3 linked regions of the Drosophila melanogaster genome follow. The protein of the gene in region 1 purifies or fractionates together with the protein of each later gene. This does not show direct contact. Each region holds a gene or a part of one and is shown in the gene's direction. Other genes may lie near its edges.

Evidence for each region. Proteins that work in one complex are often made in the same cells at the same time.
Region 2: the proteins of Not1 (region 1) and Rga purify together in Drosophila melanogaster (affinity purification with western blotting; 4 studies listed by BioGRID, with this or other methods). This does not show direct contact.
Region 3: the proteins of Not1 (region 1) and Pop2 purify together in Drosophila melanogaster (affinity purification with western blotting; 4 studies listed by BioGRID, with this or other methods). This does not show direct contact.

The regions. Positions count from the first base shown.
Region 1 is NT_033778.4:9,573,667-9,578,596, reverse strand, and holds the start of Not1 (Not1), read left to right. Parts: upstream 1-1,901; 5' UTR 1,902-2,092; coding exon 2,093-2,419; intron 2,420-2,478; coding exon 2,479-3,009; intron 3,010-3,064; coding exon 3,065-3,527; intron 3,528-3,589; coding exon 3,590-4,810; intron 4,811-4,896; coding exon 4,897-4,930.
Region 2 is NT_033777.3:5,607,097-5,614,905, reverse strand, and holds Rga (regena), read left to right. Parts: upstream 1-1,793; 5' UTR 1,794-2,836; intron 2,837-4,282; 5' UTR 4,283-4,285; coding exon 4,286-4,418; intron 4,419-4,476; coding exon 4,477-4,691; intron 4,692-5,024; coding exon 5,025-5,274; exon of another isoform or gene 5,275-5,886; coding exon 5,887-6,456; exon of another isoform or gene 6,457-6,653; intron 6,654-6,724; exon of another isoform or gene 6,725-6,748; coding exon 6,749-6,953; intron 6,954-7,019; exon of another isoform or gene 7,020-7,057; coding exon 7,058-7,222; intron 7,223-7,313; coding exon 7,314-7,533; 3' UTR 7,534-7,631; downstream 7,632-7,809. Other genes in the region: Atu (another transcription unit), read right to left, coding at 1-331, 432-1,218, 1,283-1,346, 1,414-1,444. UniProt on the Drosophila melanogaster protein: Component of the CCR4-NOT complex which is one of the major cellular mRNA deadenylases and is linked to various cellular processes including bulk mRNA degradation, miRNA-mediated repression, translational repression during translational initiation and general transcription regulation.
Region 3 is NT_037436.4:11,999,096-12,004,464, reverse strand, and holds Pop2 (Pop2), read left to right. Parts: upstream 1-1,549; 5' UTR 1,550-1,870; coding exon 1,871-1,879; intron 1,880-2,533; exon of another isoform or gene 2,534-2,738; intron 2,739-3,263; exon of another isoform or gene 3,264-3,374; coding exon 3,375-3,715; intron 3,716-3,774; coding exon 3,775-4,510; 3' UTR 4,511-4,853; downstream 4,854-5,369.

The DNA.
Region 1 (4,930 bases):
GCGTAAATAGATGCCGCCTGCAATGTAGAGCTGCTGATGGCCCCTTTTATACGGGGGCCGCGGCCAATGAATCTACAGACCCAAAAAAGAACAAAAAAAAACCAAGGAAGGCAGAGACAAAAACAAATTGCGCCGTAGGTGAAATGAAAAGCGCCAAGAAGCAACAGCGAATACGTCAAATATCTCTAATCTCCAATACCAGTGCACGCTAAACGTGTGTGCTGAACAAAAAATTCTGGTGGCCTCCAACAAAAACAACAGCAACAAGAAACATCCGCTGAGGAATTGACAACTGATACGTAGAATTATGAACGTAGAGAGCCAACTGAAGACACCGCCAACGCACATTCGAAATCTGGTCAAGCACGTGAACAAGCGAAATTTTAATGAGAGCAGCGAGCAAATAAATCAGGTAGGTGCCCAAGTTATTCTACCAAAGTTTCCATGAACCATTTCCAATTCATTTTGTCAACAATAACAACAACATTTTGTAGGGGGCGGGGGTTTAGTGTTGCCAAACCGACAACATATCGCACCTGGCCAACCAGAGTTGCCAATTGTTCGCACTCACGAATGGGCTATTGCCATTTCACTCGCTCGTGCATTTTTGCCGACGCCATTACAGTTTTTTGGTAAAGGCAGCTGAAAAAATTTCTCTGCACGGCGTTGCGCGTTTTGTGAGCGTTTTGTTTAAGCTAAAAGTTTTATAGAATGTGTAAAACCAGGCCAATTGTGTGCGCTTAGCCACAAACGTGTTTCGTGAGTTGATGGCAGTGTGAATTTTGCAGCGTAGTAGTGCGAAATCGAATTGCGAAATTCGAATTGGGAAGCCCAAGCCAAGCGCAGGGCTTTTCGGCCCCGAAACTTCTGTTTTTTCATTGCCAAACGAGAGAAACCAAATTGAATAGTAAGTTCGTGGGACAAATTGCGTGGGAATATCAATTGCGGCCGCTTTCTTTTCGCTAGAGTTGCAATATGTCGCACTTTTTCCTGTGACCCCCTTCCTTTCGCGCACCGTCATGCTCTCTTCTCTCCTTACCCATGTAACGTTTCGCCAACGTGTGCGAGCGAGAGGGCGCGTGTGTAATTTGTTGTGGAGCAGCTGCGACGGCGGGGCCAAAGCTGTTGTCTCGCTCCCCCGTTCGGAGTGAGGCCTTGATTCCGGACTCCGAGCTCCGGATCAAATATTTCAACAGTTTTGGATCCGTAGGGAGGGAGGGGGATATCTAGCCTCCTAGAAAAGTTTTGCCATTCAAATTAGTATCATAACAAATACTTGGCTTAGAATGGCACCATTTGCCCAACAATCCCCTAAAAAGTAATCGTTTGTGGGACAAACTATGCTACAGATCCCGTTTTCTTGACAGTAAATGGCATATTCCTCAAAAATTAAAAAAAATGATAAAAAAAAATGATAACAAAACAGAGTCATATACTTCAGTATTTTGAAATTCTCAACAATCTATATCTGCCATTTAAAAAGCCTGATAAGTTTTCAAGTTATTCGAACTCAGTAGGATTACCAAATTTTCACTGATATTCAATGTTGGAATGAAGTACTAGGATAACCCAACGGAATTTATAGTAAGAAAGGTCTAGGAATTTGTTGGATTCCATGGAGAAATTATCGGATAGAAAATACATTAACTAACTTAACGATAGCCCAATTTGAGATATAGTCTTCCATTTAGTTATAGCATTCAAGATAATCTCAGAAACCTGTGAGCCCAACAATGGTGCACCTAAACTGGAATTCCCAATGATAAAATTCATGTTTTAACCCTCTGGTTGCGCTTTTAAAAAGCCAATTGGGTAAAGTTTTTAAGCGGGCAAGAAATAATGACTTAATGGATTTACTTTTGAAAACAGTTGCCTGGAGTTAGAAATAATCCCTCCAAAATGTTACTTTACATCTTGCCCTGTATCCGTAAACACATATCCAATTGTACAGAGAAAAGTTGAGACACTCACAGAACATAATAGAACCTGTCAAAATTTCCAAGTTTGCGATGAAAATCACATAAAAAAAAATCCCGGTCACCGCAGAATCTGAGGAATCGTTTGAAACATACACTGTCCCTTATACAGTGATATGTGTCCCAGATTGCGGGCAGTCGCTGTCAAGGCACTTATATTGGCTTCCAAACCCTACGCAATGCAGCTCTTTGATTCTAAACCATACATTACTGATAGCATTTACGACATCTTGCAGTTCGTTAAAGAGCACGGCCTGGAAGCGGATCGCAGCAGCCTGCGCCACCTGTTCTCCGTGATCAACTTCAGCGATCTCGTGCCATCAGTTACGGTCCAGCTGCAGGCGAAGCTCCTGGGCATCCAGTTGGAGCGTCAGCTTCACAGTTCATCGTTTGTGTCCAACATCTGCTACGCTTTTGACCAGTTCTTCGCCAGCAACCAGAAGGTAAGTTGAGTTTACAATGCCCACAATGTGTTGATTACTTATGGATACTCATTCCTAAGCAGTCCCTGAAGCCTGTTGCGGTAGCGGATCTCGTTGGCCAGGTCGCCCGACTGACCGGCATCAACAAGGTTTGTGAGTGCGTCTTTGCCTTGGCCTTGACCCACTCCTCGTACACAGAACTCAAACATTCTGCCAGGAACAACCTAAAAGGTAGCCTCAGCGAACTTATAGACTCTTACTTGGGTAATAAAGGCACCGGCCCAGCCGACAGCGGTCTCCGGGAGATCTCCTTCGATCTACTGCAGTATTTGTTGTGCTGCCTTAGCGAGTACGTACAACCGCAGGTGGAAGCACAGTTTTTGATCAAGCTTCGTGAGGAGTTTCCGCGCCAGGCGGTACCGCTGGTTCTAGCGCCGTTCCTTTACGGCTCGACGACGGCGACGATTGCGGGAGCAGGTGCCAGCGAAACGGATGCGGAGGCCGAAGCGACGACTAATAGCAACAGCTCCAGTTTCGAAGCAGATGCTTTGAACGAGGTGGGAATCGAGGATATTTATGACCATTTAAGCGAGATAATATTCACCAACCAGGTGCGTAAGACACTCATTGAAAAAGACAATTCGCTAATTGAATGTTGTGTTGCAGGGCAAAAATAATATTATGGACACATCTTGGATTAATCTAATCCTTGAAATCGGTTATGAATTTACATCGAGCGTTGAAGAGTGTAAGAATCATTTGTGTTCCCGCGAGCGAGAACGCGCTGAGCTCCAGTCCAAAGATGTCGCCAAGATCGTGGGTCTTATGTGCCGACGGCACTCCTCCCTGCTCGATTGTAATGTGAATCTACCGACGCCGGCGAACTTCTGGCCTGGTCAGGGACAGGGCGGTGGCAGCAACAGCAGTGGCTCTTCGCAGACACAAATCACTCCGCAGCAACAGAACCCGGGCAGCAGTAACAACAACGATGGCAGCGATGGCAATTCGTCCAGTGATAAGAAGGACAAGAAGGAGACGACGGAGGCCACGCAAACTTGGAAGCCAGATGTCTTTGTGCAGGCGCTCAAGGAGGTGGTGCCTCAGCTCAACTGGAAGGACGTGTGCATGGGTAATAGCTAGATAATTGCTTCGCAATCGCCAATCTATAGGAATATCATTCTTAATTTTTAGAACTTGATCATCCCGAGTTCGTGCTGAAGGATCGCATCGGTTTGGAGCTTTTGCTCACCATCCTTCGGCTGGCCACTGGCTCTAACATATTTCCACATCCAGAATGCATTTACCGTCACTGGGCAAACACGGAAGGTCAGCTGTCGCTTATCGCGACAATGCTGAAGAACCCGGATCTCTTTTCCTTCGCCGACTTTGTATTTAGCCAGCCAGCGTTGGATGTGCTTAAGACGGCTCCGGATGCGGACAATAAGGAGATCTCGTCCTGGAAGTCGCTTCACCTGGTGGAGGTGCTGCTCTCCATTGCGGACAAGGGATACTATACGCAGGTCCATGAGCTATTCAAGTTCCCAGCGCAGAACTGTCCCGATGTGCTATTTTTGGCCTTATTGAACACAAGTCCGCCTATGACGCCACTGCGTCAGGATCTGTTTAACCAACTGATACCAACGTTCCTTGGCAACCATCCCAACTCGAACGTGATCTTGGCCAGCGCCTGGAGCTCGAACAACTTCCAACTTCGTTCCAATATCATGAATGCTATGTCCGAGTGGTATCTCCGAGGCAATGAGTTCGATCAGGTGAAACTGTCGCGCATCCTGGATCTTGCCCAGGATTTAAAAGCGCTATCAGCGCTGCTCAACGCCCGTTCATTTTTATTCATTATCGACCTGGCTTGCCTTGCCTCTCGGCGCGAGTACCTGAAGCTGGAAAAGTGGCTTACCGATAAAATTCGCGAACATGGAGAGCCTTTTATGCAGGCTATAATCAAGGTTCTGCACCGCCGCTGCCCGCAGGTTATCAACGCAAAAGTGCCAGAGGATCAGCTGCCTCCCAAGCAGGCGCAGCTTTTGCCCGAGACAGTTACCACCATGATCAACTGTCTGCAAACGTGCATCAATAACTGCATGCAGCCGGAGATGGTCGAAGTCATCATGCAAATGACCGCGAACGTGGCGATTATGGCTAACAAGGCGCGTGCCCAACAGCAGCAGCAGCCAGGATTGGTTCCGCCGCCTCCACCAACAATTCTGCGCGGCCATCGTGGTATGGATCTGCCTGGAGGCATAGTCCCTCCGCCACCGCAGCAACCGTTCTCCGGAAACCTCAACGCGCAGATGTTTGGACCAGGAATGGATCCGCTAACGAATATGTCCAACAACTTAGCCGGCCTCAACCTCAGCGGCCCGAACGGAGCATTTAATTTTGGAAACATGCTAAGTAAGTGGCATTCATAGGCAATGAGTGCATAATCTATCACAGATGCCTCTTAATCCTATCTAACGAAATTCTACGTGCAATTTCAGCTTCTCCATCGCGTCTGATGACTCCGGGAGCCAA
Region 2 (7,809 bases), on another chromosome or scaffold:
ACAAAAAGTTGGGAAGCTTGATAAAGTGCTGCTCTTTTCCCAGGTCTGCAGAGATGCGCGGAATCTCCACATCGATTCGGGTCTCCGGAAGCGGTTCAGGCTCATCCTCCTTGGGCGCCGATTCTACTTGGCTCTCGACTTTATCCCGGGATCGCGATCTGGAGCGGGAACGCGAGTGGCTCATAGAACGACTGTGGGAGTGGGACTTGCTTTGACTGCGGCTCTTGGAGCGCACTGGGGATTTTCTGGCAGCTGGTCCAGCCTCATCCTCATCGTCACTTATATCATCGGCATCTCCAAATATGTCAGCTGCAGCCGGAGCTTTCTTTCCCTGCATAATTGAAATGTACATATATCAGGGTAATTTTTCCTTAATTATAGAACTAGATAAATAACAATATAGTTGAGTAGTTCAGAGTGGTGTGCCTTACCACATCCTGATTGGAATCGCTATCAGTGTCGATCAGCCGTGACTTCTTAGCTTTGGTGGGCGATTCCTCAATGTCGCTATCGCTGCCGCTCTTTTTCTTCTCTTGATCGGAGCCACTCGCCTTGCGTGCCTTCTTCTTGGGCACACCCACATCGCTGCCGGAGCCGGATGCGCTGCCACTACGACTTCTATTGGGCGACGGCGTGCCCGTCTTGGAACGCGATCTGGAAGTGCGACTGCCACTCCTGCTCCTACTTCTGCTGCGACTGCCGCTCTTGGAATTGGCACGCTCTACGTCAATTTGCAGATTGGGCGAATTAGACCGCGATTCCTCGTTGCCCTTGAGTGAACCGCTATGAGACCTCGATCGAGACTCAGAGCGGTCACTTTGTGCCGAACCAGATTTGCGACTCCGAGCGGATCCCGATCTGCGACTGTGGGCCGAACCGGATCTGCGGCTGTGAGTAGATCCCGATTTGCGACTTTGGGGAGAACCAGATCTACGACTCTGAGGCGATCCTGACTTGCGACTTTGCAACGAACCTGATCTGTGACTTTGTGGAGATTCCGGAGTTCCAGATTTACGGCTACGCGCAGATCCCGACCTGCGACTGTGAGCAGATCTTGATCTCTTACTACGAGCGGAGCCAGACAGCTGCGAGTGGCGGCTTTCTGCAGACCCGGACCTGGCACTACGCGGAGACCCAGAGCCGGACCGGGATCGGGAAGACCTGGAGCCCGATCGGGAACGATCGCTGCCACTACCCGACCTGCGACTGCGTTGGGATCTGGAAAACGAGGGGAAGGTAATCAGCACTCTCCCGCCGCCGTGTTTGAATATCAAATAGTTACCCGGGCGCACTACCTCCTTGCGGCGTGACACTGCGGCTTCCACTTCGACTCGAACCGGATGAACCTACATACATATGTGAACAGTGTAAATATTAGTTACTCAGGCCTGGACTTAGCCATTAGCCACTCACCACTGTCGTCGTCCGAGTTTTGGCTGCCCATAATGCCAAGTAAATTTTGTTTAAAATCGGAAAATCTGCAATCAAGACAATTCGCGGCCGGGCAATAAAGTTGAGTTTAGGAGGTCTAGGCACTGTCACAGTAATCGATAACTGAAATACGCAAAGAGGTCTTCGCATAGACGCCCCAGATGGCAGCCCAATAACTGTTTTTGTCTATCGATTAAAAGTAAACAACTATTTTACCAATCGCAAAGGCGAATAAAATTGTTGTCTTTAAAGAAAACAATTCGAATATTCTTTGAAATATACAGTAATCAATGCACCAAACCCTCTCGTTGCAAACTAACTACTATCGATACCAACGCTGTCTCGATAGCAGATTTTTACATCCCTAATTCTTGTGTGTTTGTATTCGTGACAGCCACAAAGTTTTTTGCGGAACATTTTTTGTGTACAATTTAAAGCCATTTCGGGCGCTAAAGAATTGTTTACTGCCCCTCGATAGTGGATCGTAAGGACCCGGCTCCATTAAGTTCGAGTGCATTTGCGGGTCGGCGGCGTAAAAGACGCGCAAATCTAGCAGGGAATTTGCCCAATTCGCTGCTTCGGGTGAAATTTCAATGAACTGAGAAAACAAAGACAGACACACACACAAACACACGCACAGGGTCACAGACACAGTGCTTGTGCAGCAGTGTAGTAAGAAGCAGAGACAACAGCGCAATAGCGAGCGATTATTTACTTACAAATAAAATACAAAACGGAAACATTAACAAAAAGCGAGAGCCCTGGCCAATCCAATCGGCCGAGTGTAACGTGCGCGACATTTGCATAAGCGTGAATATAGAAACTACAGTGGTCGCAAGAGCGGCGCAGAAAAAACGGACAACTTTTAGCCTCCGCCAGGCATCAACATCCTTCGACTCTCCTCTCCTCTCTCTCTCTCTCTCGCTCGCTGTCTCTTCGGCACGAAGACCACGCTGCATACAGACGAGGCACATATACATATGCACACACGCACAGCGGTATATATGCCATTTATTTAGGGACGACTCGGCGCGGAAAAGTACTAACTAACCTCGTTCCCGCTCCTACACCCGCTACGGTTCCAGCTCCCGTTTCTCCGTTGCATCCTTTCAGCTTCCAGCGAGTGAGTGCTAGTGACCGAGACACCCACAGCTAACCAACAGCTGCCCAGTGGGAGTTAGCGGACTTTCATATTCCTGCTGATTCGCCGATCCGTGATCCGTCACAGTTACGGTTACGGCGCCAGGACAACGACTCCTACGTCCTCGTCCCGCCGGCCGCTTTGGAATGTTAAATGCGGTGAGAACGATTCGATCAGTGTATGTTGTTGTTGCTGGACAGAGTGGAAAGCGAGCGTTAACAGTGGAAGAACAAGAAGCGACAGTATCGTCTAACGTTAATTTAGGTAAGTTGCGCGCATTCCTCCTTTCGGATCCGTCGTTCTTATTTTGTACTTGCTGAATCGCCCGAGGTTAAATGGTTGGTTAAACACTTGTCCCCAGAGTTAACGCTAGCCATTGAATTTTGTTGTAAGCGCGGTCGCCAGTGTTGGGAAGCGTCTGTTAGGTCAGCTGATAAAGTTACATGCGTGCAGGTAAAACATCAATTTAATCGACAGCTCCCGTATTCCAGGAAGATTTGCTCCTTTCAAATTAAATGCACTGGCATCCTGTGCTAGTATATCTTGCATTCCAGGCGAGTTCAGCGCACGTTGAAGTTTCGATAAGATAAAGCCGGTCTTTACCATAGGAAGGGTTATTTACATATTATGGTACTAGCAAGCAGCATCAAAACCTAACTGGAGCTTTCGTAGTGAAGTAAACGAAATTCGACTAACTCGGTAGTGGTTTGGCCAGTAGTGGAGATAAGGTATAAAGCTTTGTATTTTACAATGTTAACTGTTTTTACTGTACACCTTTTGCACTGCACTGACCACTGCCTGCATAATTGATCGAGGGACAAGTTGAGGCTTATATCCTTTTGCATTGCCCCGCTCTCCACCCACTCCCTTGCACCCTGGTGGCAGTCATTCTGGTTTTCTCACCCACACCATCGCCATTGTCTTGGTCTCCATCTTATCCACACGGTCTGTGCATGAGTGTGCCCACGACAAAGAGGAACGGCAATAATTGCCACAGCCTTTCTGCCCATGCTTCTCGTTCTCCACCTCCTTGCTCTGCCTCTCAATTTGCTCTCCTTTTCTCCTTCTGCTCTGTTTGCTGTCCGAATTCGCTTCGCCAATCGACAGCTGATGCGTCGGCCATTTAACGGATTCACTTGGCGCGGGCTATTTTGTTTATAGATATACTATAGATGGTGGCCCTTTTTTGGGATCCCATTTTGCCGTTAAGATAACCTTTTCATATATATGGCTCCAGGCTGCTAACCCACAAGGTTGTTGGTTTGTTTGCTCAATACGCATATACTCGCATTTAGTGTGCGACAATTATCTGCGGGGAGCCAATTTGTTATCAATATAGTCCCCCTCCACTGAATCACACAGTTTTTATTGTAAACCCTTGTTTATGGGCGAAGAGTTTCCCTGATTCAGACATTTGACAGCAGTTCTCTGATTGCTGCGCAGATGGCTTCGAGAATTTATGTTGCGAATCATCCAGCATATTCCCAATTGCTCGTATTAACCGTAATGTTATATAACGCGTAATAATCTCCAAAATAAATATATATTAGTTTGTTTTTGCCAAAAGGAAATCCCTATACTATTACATTTAAGTGATTACTGCTTAAGTGATACTTCGATGTCGACGCGGATACGATATGGGTTTTTCTTTATGGGTAGATAAGCAAAGCAAGGCCACAGCCTAATAACCGACAACCCCTTCCATTGCAGATTATGGCGAATTTAAATTTTCAACAACCCCCGAGAAGTATAGCGAACGCGGCGTTAGCTGGCCGGACAACAGGCGGATTCGGTGGTAGCTCCCTGGCTGGCCATGTGACGCCCACGTCGGGCATGTTTCAAACCGGTAAGCACTTGTCGCCCAAAGCTTTTGACGGAGCACCAATTCACATTTGTTGCCTTAGACTTCGCCAACTCCTATCCAGGAACGGCGAACTACGGACAGGCGCCGCAGCAGCAGCAACAACAGCAGCAGCAGCCCCAACTGTCGCCGAACCGGAATGCCCAGCTGTCGGTCGGCGGACCCGCCATCTCGAGCGGCAACCGCAACGCCAACCTCTTCGGCCAGCGTCAGTTTGTGGAGCGGCGAGCCATGCAAGGATTGGGCAGTGGCCCCATGGTAAGCAGCGCGGCATTACAACAAAGTCTAACTCCTCCAACTCGGTCTTGTCCAAGATACTCAAAGTAAAACATATAACAATATCTATATCCATTGACTGTGGGTTTAGTACTTCAATACTTCGGATTGCATCAGAGAATCGTATCGCTGATCGATCAGATTTATATAAAGGAAATATTTTTGATACAACGGAATATACATTAATTTCAGAAGTTACAAATGCTTTCACATTACATAAAAAATATACCCTCTATTAAGATTGAGTTGGAGATGTCAGTCCTAATTCTAAAAATAAATTGTTAAGACTTGGCTAATCATTATCTCTTTCCGCAGTCGAACATGGGCAACTTCATGCAGACGGGTCGCGGCGGCTACGGAACGGGCGGAGGCGGTGGCGGTCCTTTGAATAACTTCCACGTGTTCGGCGGCGGCGGTGGTAGCGACACCTCCACGCCTGCCCTGCTCGATCCCACGGAGTTCCCCTCGCTGACGAATGCGCGCGGCCAGAACGACCAGACACTGCCCCAATCGAATCCGCTCCAGCCGCCGGGCAGCAAACCCTATGGTAATTTCTTTACCTCTTGTGAGTTCAAATCAAAATCCACTTCTTTTTATTTATTTTTGTTTTTAAAACTACGATTAAGAATCGGTTGTAAGCGTGGTGTCTCGTGATCAGCTCATTAAGCCCACTTAGATATGCTACGCTGTATTTGGGACTAACCTCGGGTGTTGGTTTGGGTATGGCAAACGCTGCAAAAACTAGATTCAGTCAAGGACATTTACTTTGGCTACGTTGGTCCAACCGAATACGGGCTTCTGATTCCATGAAGAGCTTTTGCAATTTAGAGTTTGAAATGAAATTGTGTTTCCGGATTATACTCCAAACATATTATTATATGCAATCTCATTTACTTTGAAACATGATCAATGAATAAAAAGAAACTGTTCACATAAAGCAAGCGACTTAACCTTTTATAAGTTCATATATAGGTGAAGGATAACTTTAAATTCACAGTAACATGTCTTAAAACCTTGAACAAATGCTGTTTGGACCTACTCATTGATTTTAATTGGTTGAGGAAAAAGAAATTAACTAAAATCGTGTGTATTGTATGAGCTTAAACTGCTTTAGTACTAATTTCTTCGCTTCACTCATTCGCCCTGGGCGACCATCTCGCTCCTCTTCTGATTTCAGTTGGCATGGTGAAGCAACCGACGTCAGAGCAATCGGAGTTCACGATGTCTAACGAGGACTTCCCTGCGTTACCGGGCACCCAAAACTCGGACGGCACAACGAACGCGGTGGGGAGCGTCGCCGGAACAGGAGGCTCCGGAGGTGCGTCCACAGAGAACCACTTGGACGGCACGGAAAAGCCGATGAATTCGATAGTGGTCAGCGGATCAGCGAGCGGCAGCAGCGGTTCCAACGTCGGCGTTGTAGGCGGCAATGGTCTCGGTGCCGTTGGCAGTGGTATAGGGGGCTTGGCAGTAGGCGGCGGCGGAGGAGCTGGTAGCTCAGGAGGCGGAGGAGTCGGCGGCAATGCAGCCAGCGGCGTTGTCGGCGGGTCCCATGTAGGACTGGTGGGCAGTAACAGCGGCATTGGCGGCGTCAACAGCGTACCCAACAGCAATGCCATGATGGGCGTAGGCGGCGGCCTGGGGAGTGGAAGCGGCTCGTCTGGGAGCGGAGCGGGCGGCGAGCATCTGAACGATAATTCCAGCAACGATAAACTTGTAAAGAGCGGCGTGCAAACTTCGCCAGATGGTGAGTGCTGGAACACTTCTCACAACATGTGAGAGAGCTATTTTTGACCTTTTGATCATTTGGAGCTTTGAATTGAACACTCTATGGATGATTGATACCATTTAATCAATGGATTTCTTGGTTTCTATTATTATTTGTTTCATATTATAATTCGGTGATTTCGGTGTACATCACAAAAGCCCAACAGCTATACTATCCTTGACCCATTTTATCCAGAAATAATAGTACCATGAAATATTTTATTTATTTAAAAATGTAACAAATTTACCTTTCGTTCGTTTTGCATAAATAGGGAAGGTCACAAACATACCAGCGACCATGGTGAACAACCAGTTCGGCATGGTTGGCCTGCTGACGTTCATTCGGGCTGCAGAAACGGATCCCAATCTGGTGACGCTCTCCTTGGGTACGGATCTCACGGGTTTAGGCCTGAACCTGAACTCGCAGGAGAGCTTGCATACAACCTTCGCTGGCCCCTTCGTAGCACAGCCCTGCAGGTCAGTTTACATAATAAACTTACATAATTTAATTGCTTATTGAGTACTATTGAGTAAGAGGTGTACCAAATTAGTAACATTGGATTTGCATTTACTTTTTTCAGAGCACAAGACGTTGAGTTCAACGTGCCACCCGAATATCTGATTAACTTTGCGATAAGAGACAAACTAACAGCGCCGGTACTGAAAAAGCTGCAAGAAGACCTGCTCTTTTTCCTTTTTTACACGAACATCGGCGATATGATGCAATTGATGGCAGCTGCTGAATTGTGAGTACTTCCTCTTGCGTAGCTATTATCTAAGCTTCGTATGAACATATATAGAACATACATATATACTAAAATTCTGCTCCCATCGCAGGCATAGTCGCGAGTGGCGATACCACGTGGAGGAGAAAATATGGATAACTCGAATTCCTGGCATTGATCAATATGAAAAAAATGGTACAAAAGAGCGCGGCACCTTCTACTACTTTGATGCGCAAAGTTGGAAACGTTTGTCCAAGGTTTTCCAAATAGATCCCGAGAAATTAGATAAATGTCCCAATATAAGTGCGTTTATGAATGGACAGTCTGTATAAAATTAATAAAAATGAAAAAAATTGAAAAAGAAAGTATGCTGTTGTTTTTGCATTGCAACAAGGACACTCAACACTAACTGAATAATAAGTTTTATTATAAAAATTAAAAACAATCCATTTGAGTTTTTCTTCTAAAACGGTGTTAGGATATATATACATACATATATGCATATGTATGTATGTGCAAATTCTGGTACAAATTGCCGGTTAACAATTTAAAGCGATTTATTTTTATCCTGCTGGAGTCTAGTTGGTATTCATATTTTTAGAATATCT
Region 3 (5,369 bases), on another chromosome or scaffold:
TCTTCTAGAATTCTAGAAAGAACGGAGAGCTCTGGGGAAGATCAATTCGGTTCGGTTGCTGGCCAGAGACTGAAAAACGATCGCGTGAACGAAGAATTCCTGATCAGTGATCACACGACCACCTCAATTAGCTGAACAACTGGCGAAGTTGAAAGTATTGGTTCGGGTCGCCTAAAACGTGATCAAATTGCTCGACCGAAGGCACGAGATACAATGTGCACTTTAATTGAATTTCGCTTTGTTTACAAACTATTCTTTTCAATTTAGAGCCAATAATTATGGCGAAATTGTTTGTTTGTTATGTCATTTGCAAACGCCACAATGGCAAATATTGCCAATCGCTTGTGGAAAGAATGGCGAGTTTAGAATTGCTATTAGTTCCACAAAGCAATGATAATGCGATTTATACAATCGACAGTCAACAATTTAACAGCGTTTAGTGAACTATTAGGTAGCATTGTGAAATAAGTAATGAATATAATGTATCTTAAAATAATCAGACCGATTAGAGCGACTAGAATGATTTTCTAAAAACGCCTATAAAGGGGAGGTTTAAATGGAACGTTCTTGTTGGATCGGTTTGTAAATATTTAAATATAAAATAGAAACTAAATAAATTTGACATTTTTGCAACACAATCTAGAAAGTTTCCTTCCTTGTAGGTAAACTATTGAATTCCAGAGGTCAGATAAGAAGAAAAGCCCTTATCAGTACGGAAACGTGTAGTTCAAGTGGTTTTATCAGCATTTTGTAACCGGATTGAGCATAAAAATGCGAAACGTGCGAAAAGTTTATTAACCCTTTGAAGAAACTGGAGAAATCCGTTCTTTGAGGGTCCACGAAACCAAAATAATTGGAGAGATCAGTCGTTATGTACCGATGTACGTACATGTATGTATGTATGTATAAACATAATTGCCGATTGTTGACAGACGGCGAGCTTTATTTATCTTATTTGCTTTCTTTTTTTAATTTGGCATGTGTGAAAAAACTAGTTTTGCACTGTATTGGTATAAACGTAAACAAACTGAGAAAACAGTTGATTCAATTGTTTGTTTATTTATAACGCGAGCCAATTCCTCAAGAATTTGCAACAACAAATGGGTCAAGTTAAAAGGAAAGTGGGACAGACGTAAAAAGAAAAACCACAAATCCAGTAACATTTCTTACTTGATTATTATGATCTATATTTTTGTATCAACTTTTAACACTTAACATTAAAGTTAAAAAATCACAAAGCTACCACTTCTACCGGTGAAATTGAAATAAATATATTTGTTTGACTGTCAGCGAACAGCTGAAAGTCTAGTGTTGCCATCGCTCACCAACTTTCATAGTTTCCCTGGCGCCCTCTAGGCGGCTGCTATAGCGAGTCAAAGGCAGGGCTTGGCAGCACTTAAGTGGCTGAGTGCCTAATATTTAAATACAACAAAACCCATTTTTTTTTGTTAATTTAGATTTCTAATTACTATGCTTATGAACAGAAACTAAAAATTCAAAAGATGGGCACCACTAAAGTCGCCAAACTATCGATATTTGTAGCAATTACACGTTTTCCAGCACTTGAATCGAAGAGCGAACGTTTACCCTCACTGCCGCAATCGCGAACAATTTTTTATTATGGCACTTGCGCGGCTCACAAACGATATTCGCTGATAAACATTCATTGGAAATTATTGCCGAACGCAGAGGACTCCGCCAATTGAAGTGTGCGCTTAAAACGATCGCCGTGCAGGAAGCGGAAGTGCCCCATAACAGCTATTTTCTCGCCGCTTTCTCCCCCATCACCCCCCCGCAAAACAAGCGACGCCGATAGAAACATTTAATTTGTGCAAATAGCCGAAACCTACACGGTCGGCCATCAAATATTATGAAATGGGTAAGCTGCGAGGGTAACCACGAGTGGGTCCATTTCCACAGCCTTGCGTTTCCACGGCGCAAATCGAAAACGAACTGCAATTGCAAATGCATCTTCAATGCCGCTGCAAGTGTGTGTGTGTGTGTGTGTGCGGTGTGATGTGAGCGTGTGTGCGAGTGTGTGCAGTTTTCTTAGGGCGTTTTAACTGTTATTTATTTTCGGTTTCTTCATTTTCCGCAAATAGTCACTTTTTCGTGTTTGTCTGATTTCCCCCCCCCCCCCCCCCAGCCTGCACTATGAATCCGATTTCGAAATGGATTGAAATTCACACCCTCAAATCTTCAGTGTCACTTGCAAATGCTCAAAAACGTATGGAAATTTCTGACTTGCTATGATGTGACTTAAAATCATATTTTTATGTTAAACGCCCTTATATTCATAATTGGTAAAGCATACCAAATCTTAATTAATACAACATATAAAGGGTAGAGCAGCGATTGAGAACTTTTCTGCATATTTCAAAACCTTAAATATAACCTGTGTACAATGAGGGAAATGTTTCTCACACTGTAGTTAGAAATTAAGTCATGTTAATGCTGTCTAATTGCAGCATCAGCTTTAAATAACTTGCCCAGTGTTATCTGAAGGTGTGTTAATGCATGCGATACATCATAGGTGCAATAGGTATAATCCTGTAAAGGCAGATTGAATTATTATTCCGATACCCCTGCATTCGATCAGGAGCATTGATCCCCCGAATCAGAGCTTAAGACCACACATCCAGGTGGAACTTGTTGCTTGAGGCTTGGTTGTAGGTCAGTGCGAAGAGGTGGCTGATCCGGCGGCGAAGGGTGCGCACCAGGCGACGTCCGGCGACGATGTAAGTAGCGGCCATCGTAAACCCAATCACTCCAGTAACCACCTCCAAGCAAATTTCCAAAAAATCGTTACCTTCACTTGCCTTGTTTCGATATGATTTTATTTTATGTTGTTTCCTCGTATCAGCAGCAAAATTCGTGCACTTCTAACATCGATATTGGCCAATCTTCAATTGTGAACCTCCTGTTTAGTTGCGCTATCGTGCTTAACCAATTGGACCAGCTATTTTATTATGTTGCTAACTCTTACCTCCACATAAATACACAAAAACACAAGACACTGGGATTAGTCCTTATCTATGGAAATATTCGATATCGGTAACCTTACACTGATGTTTAAACAAATTCGAAAACTGAGCACCATAAACAACAATTAGTAAACCATCATTATAAACAAAGGTTTCATAATGTTTGTAAAACGTTCTTCAGTTTGTTTGTGCCTTATAAATCTGCATTGTGGAGCATTTACTATGCTTCATAAAATGATAGGACTTGATCAACTAATCATAGCATTGATGGCGAAAACTAATATTTCACATCTTAAATTAGGACTAAACAAACACAAACATATACACACTTATACACTGAAATATGTATACATTACAAGTAGTTTGACCCACAACCAATACTTTTCCCAGACAATGCCCTCGGCCATCAGTGGCGCGCCACATGCCCACATACCCAGCAACGAGGAGTGCGGCATCCGCGATGTGTGGAAGCAAAACCTGGAGGAGGAGTTCCGCACCATACGGAAAGTGGTGCAGAAGTACCACTATGTGGCCATGGACACCGAGTTTCCAGGCGTGGTAGCACGTCCAGTCGGCGAGTTCCGCTCCACGGCGGACTATCATTACCAGCTGCTGCGCTGTAATGTCGATCTGCTGCGGATTATCCAATTGGGCCTTACCTTCATGGACGACGATGGAAAGACACCACCCGGCTACTCCACCTGGCAGTTCAACTTCAAGTTTAACCTGAGGTAAAAGTGTTTTGTTTATGCTCTAATGGGGGGTCCTATATTATCGTTTGTTTCCCTAGCGAGGACATGTATGCGCAGGACTCGATCGATCTGCTGCAGAACTCCGGAATTCAGTTCAAGAAGCACGAGGAGGATGGCATCGATCCCATCGACTTCGCCGAACTGCTGATGAGCTCTGGCATCGTGCTGGTGGAAAACATCAAGTGGCTGTGCTTCCACTCCGGCTACGATTTTGGCTACCTTCTAAAGCTGCTCACCGATCAGAACCTGCCCCCGGACGAATCTGAATTTTTCGATCTGCTGCACATCTACTTTCCCAACATCTTCGACATCAAGTATCTGATGAAGTCGTGCAAGAACCTGAAAGGCGGCCTGCAGGAGGTTGCCGATCAGCTGGAACTGCGGCGCGTGGGCCCCCAGCATCAGGCCGGCTCGGATGCTCTGCTGACGGGCATGGCCTTCTTCAAAATGCGTGAGGTACAGCACACAAATGATTTCCACATTACACCGGTGGCGCACGATGTACTCTTTCGCTATCTGCTTGAGCACACCATGAACTTAAAGCCGACGATCAGCTGCATCCATCTGCTGAGCCGTCCGGCATACAATGGGGGCCCTGCCCCCGACGAATCTGCGATAATCAGCAGTGGCAACGGCACAGGCAACACCAACTCCACCGAGCAGTTCACCTCGAGCGCCTACATGGTTACACCTCCTAATACGCCCGGCATGGCCAAGAGCGATGCCGCATCGCTGTCCAATCGCCATACGTCTATTTCGAATAGCTTCGGATGATTAGACAGCTCGCTCGCTGGTGTTGCCGTGCACTTGCCACTGCTAACGTAACGTGCCTCCGCCCATCATAATCATTATTCCTTAGGTTTAAGGTTTTTCATGGTTGTCATAACGCATTTTCATACATAACTCATCTATGTACTTAGTTTTTTGTGACCTGCACAATTTACAGAGCCAGTGACCCAGAATTTATGAATGAAATCCATAATTTGAAGTGTTCTTAGTAGTTAGTTTGGAGCTGTTAAACCCATGTGAAACATGTTTATTTAGCTGTAATGCCCGCGATACGAATTGAAATGAGAAACGCGCTGGATTCGAATGGAAAATTAAATGAATTGGAATTAATTTTCTTTAAATGTTTATTTGCATTCTTTGGTGTTTGGGCATGGCATATGCATATCATAGCTTGCTTGATTTCATATGACATCTTTTTAATTGTATTGATGTTCATTTTAATTTATGTTAAGTTCACGCTCTTCATTTATATCGAATTAACAAATTATTCTTTTGTAATTTTAAGCGCTTTGCTGACATATGTTTCCACACGGTTTACTGTGTGTATCAGCGTACCAAGACCTTTATCTTCTAGAGAACTGCCGAATAGTTTTGAAATAACAAGAACATTGCAGAATAAATCCCATCCCATACTAACATTCATTAAATATGAAATTTACTAATATTGAAACCTCGTCCAATCACATCGGTTCTGCGGTATGTAACAAATCCTATCTACAAGTAGGACCCACCCATCTACTTGGGATTACTTTCTAAGACTTTGCTGCCGTAGAAATATGTGTGCTTTATACGCTTTGTAGCTCCCAACTAAAGTTGCTCGCATTGATACATCCCATAATTACCA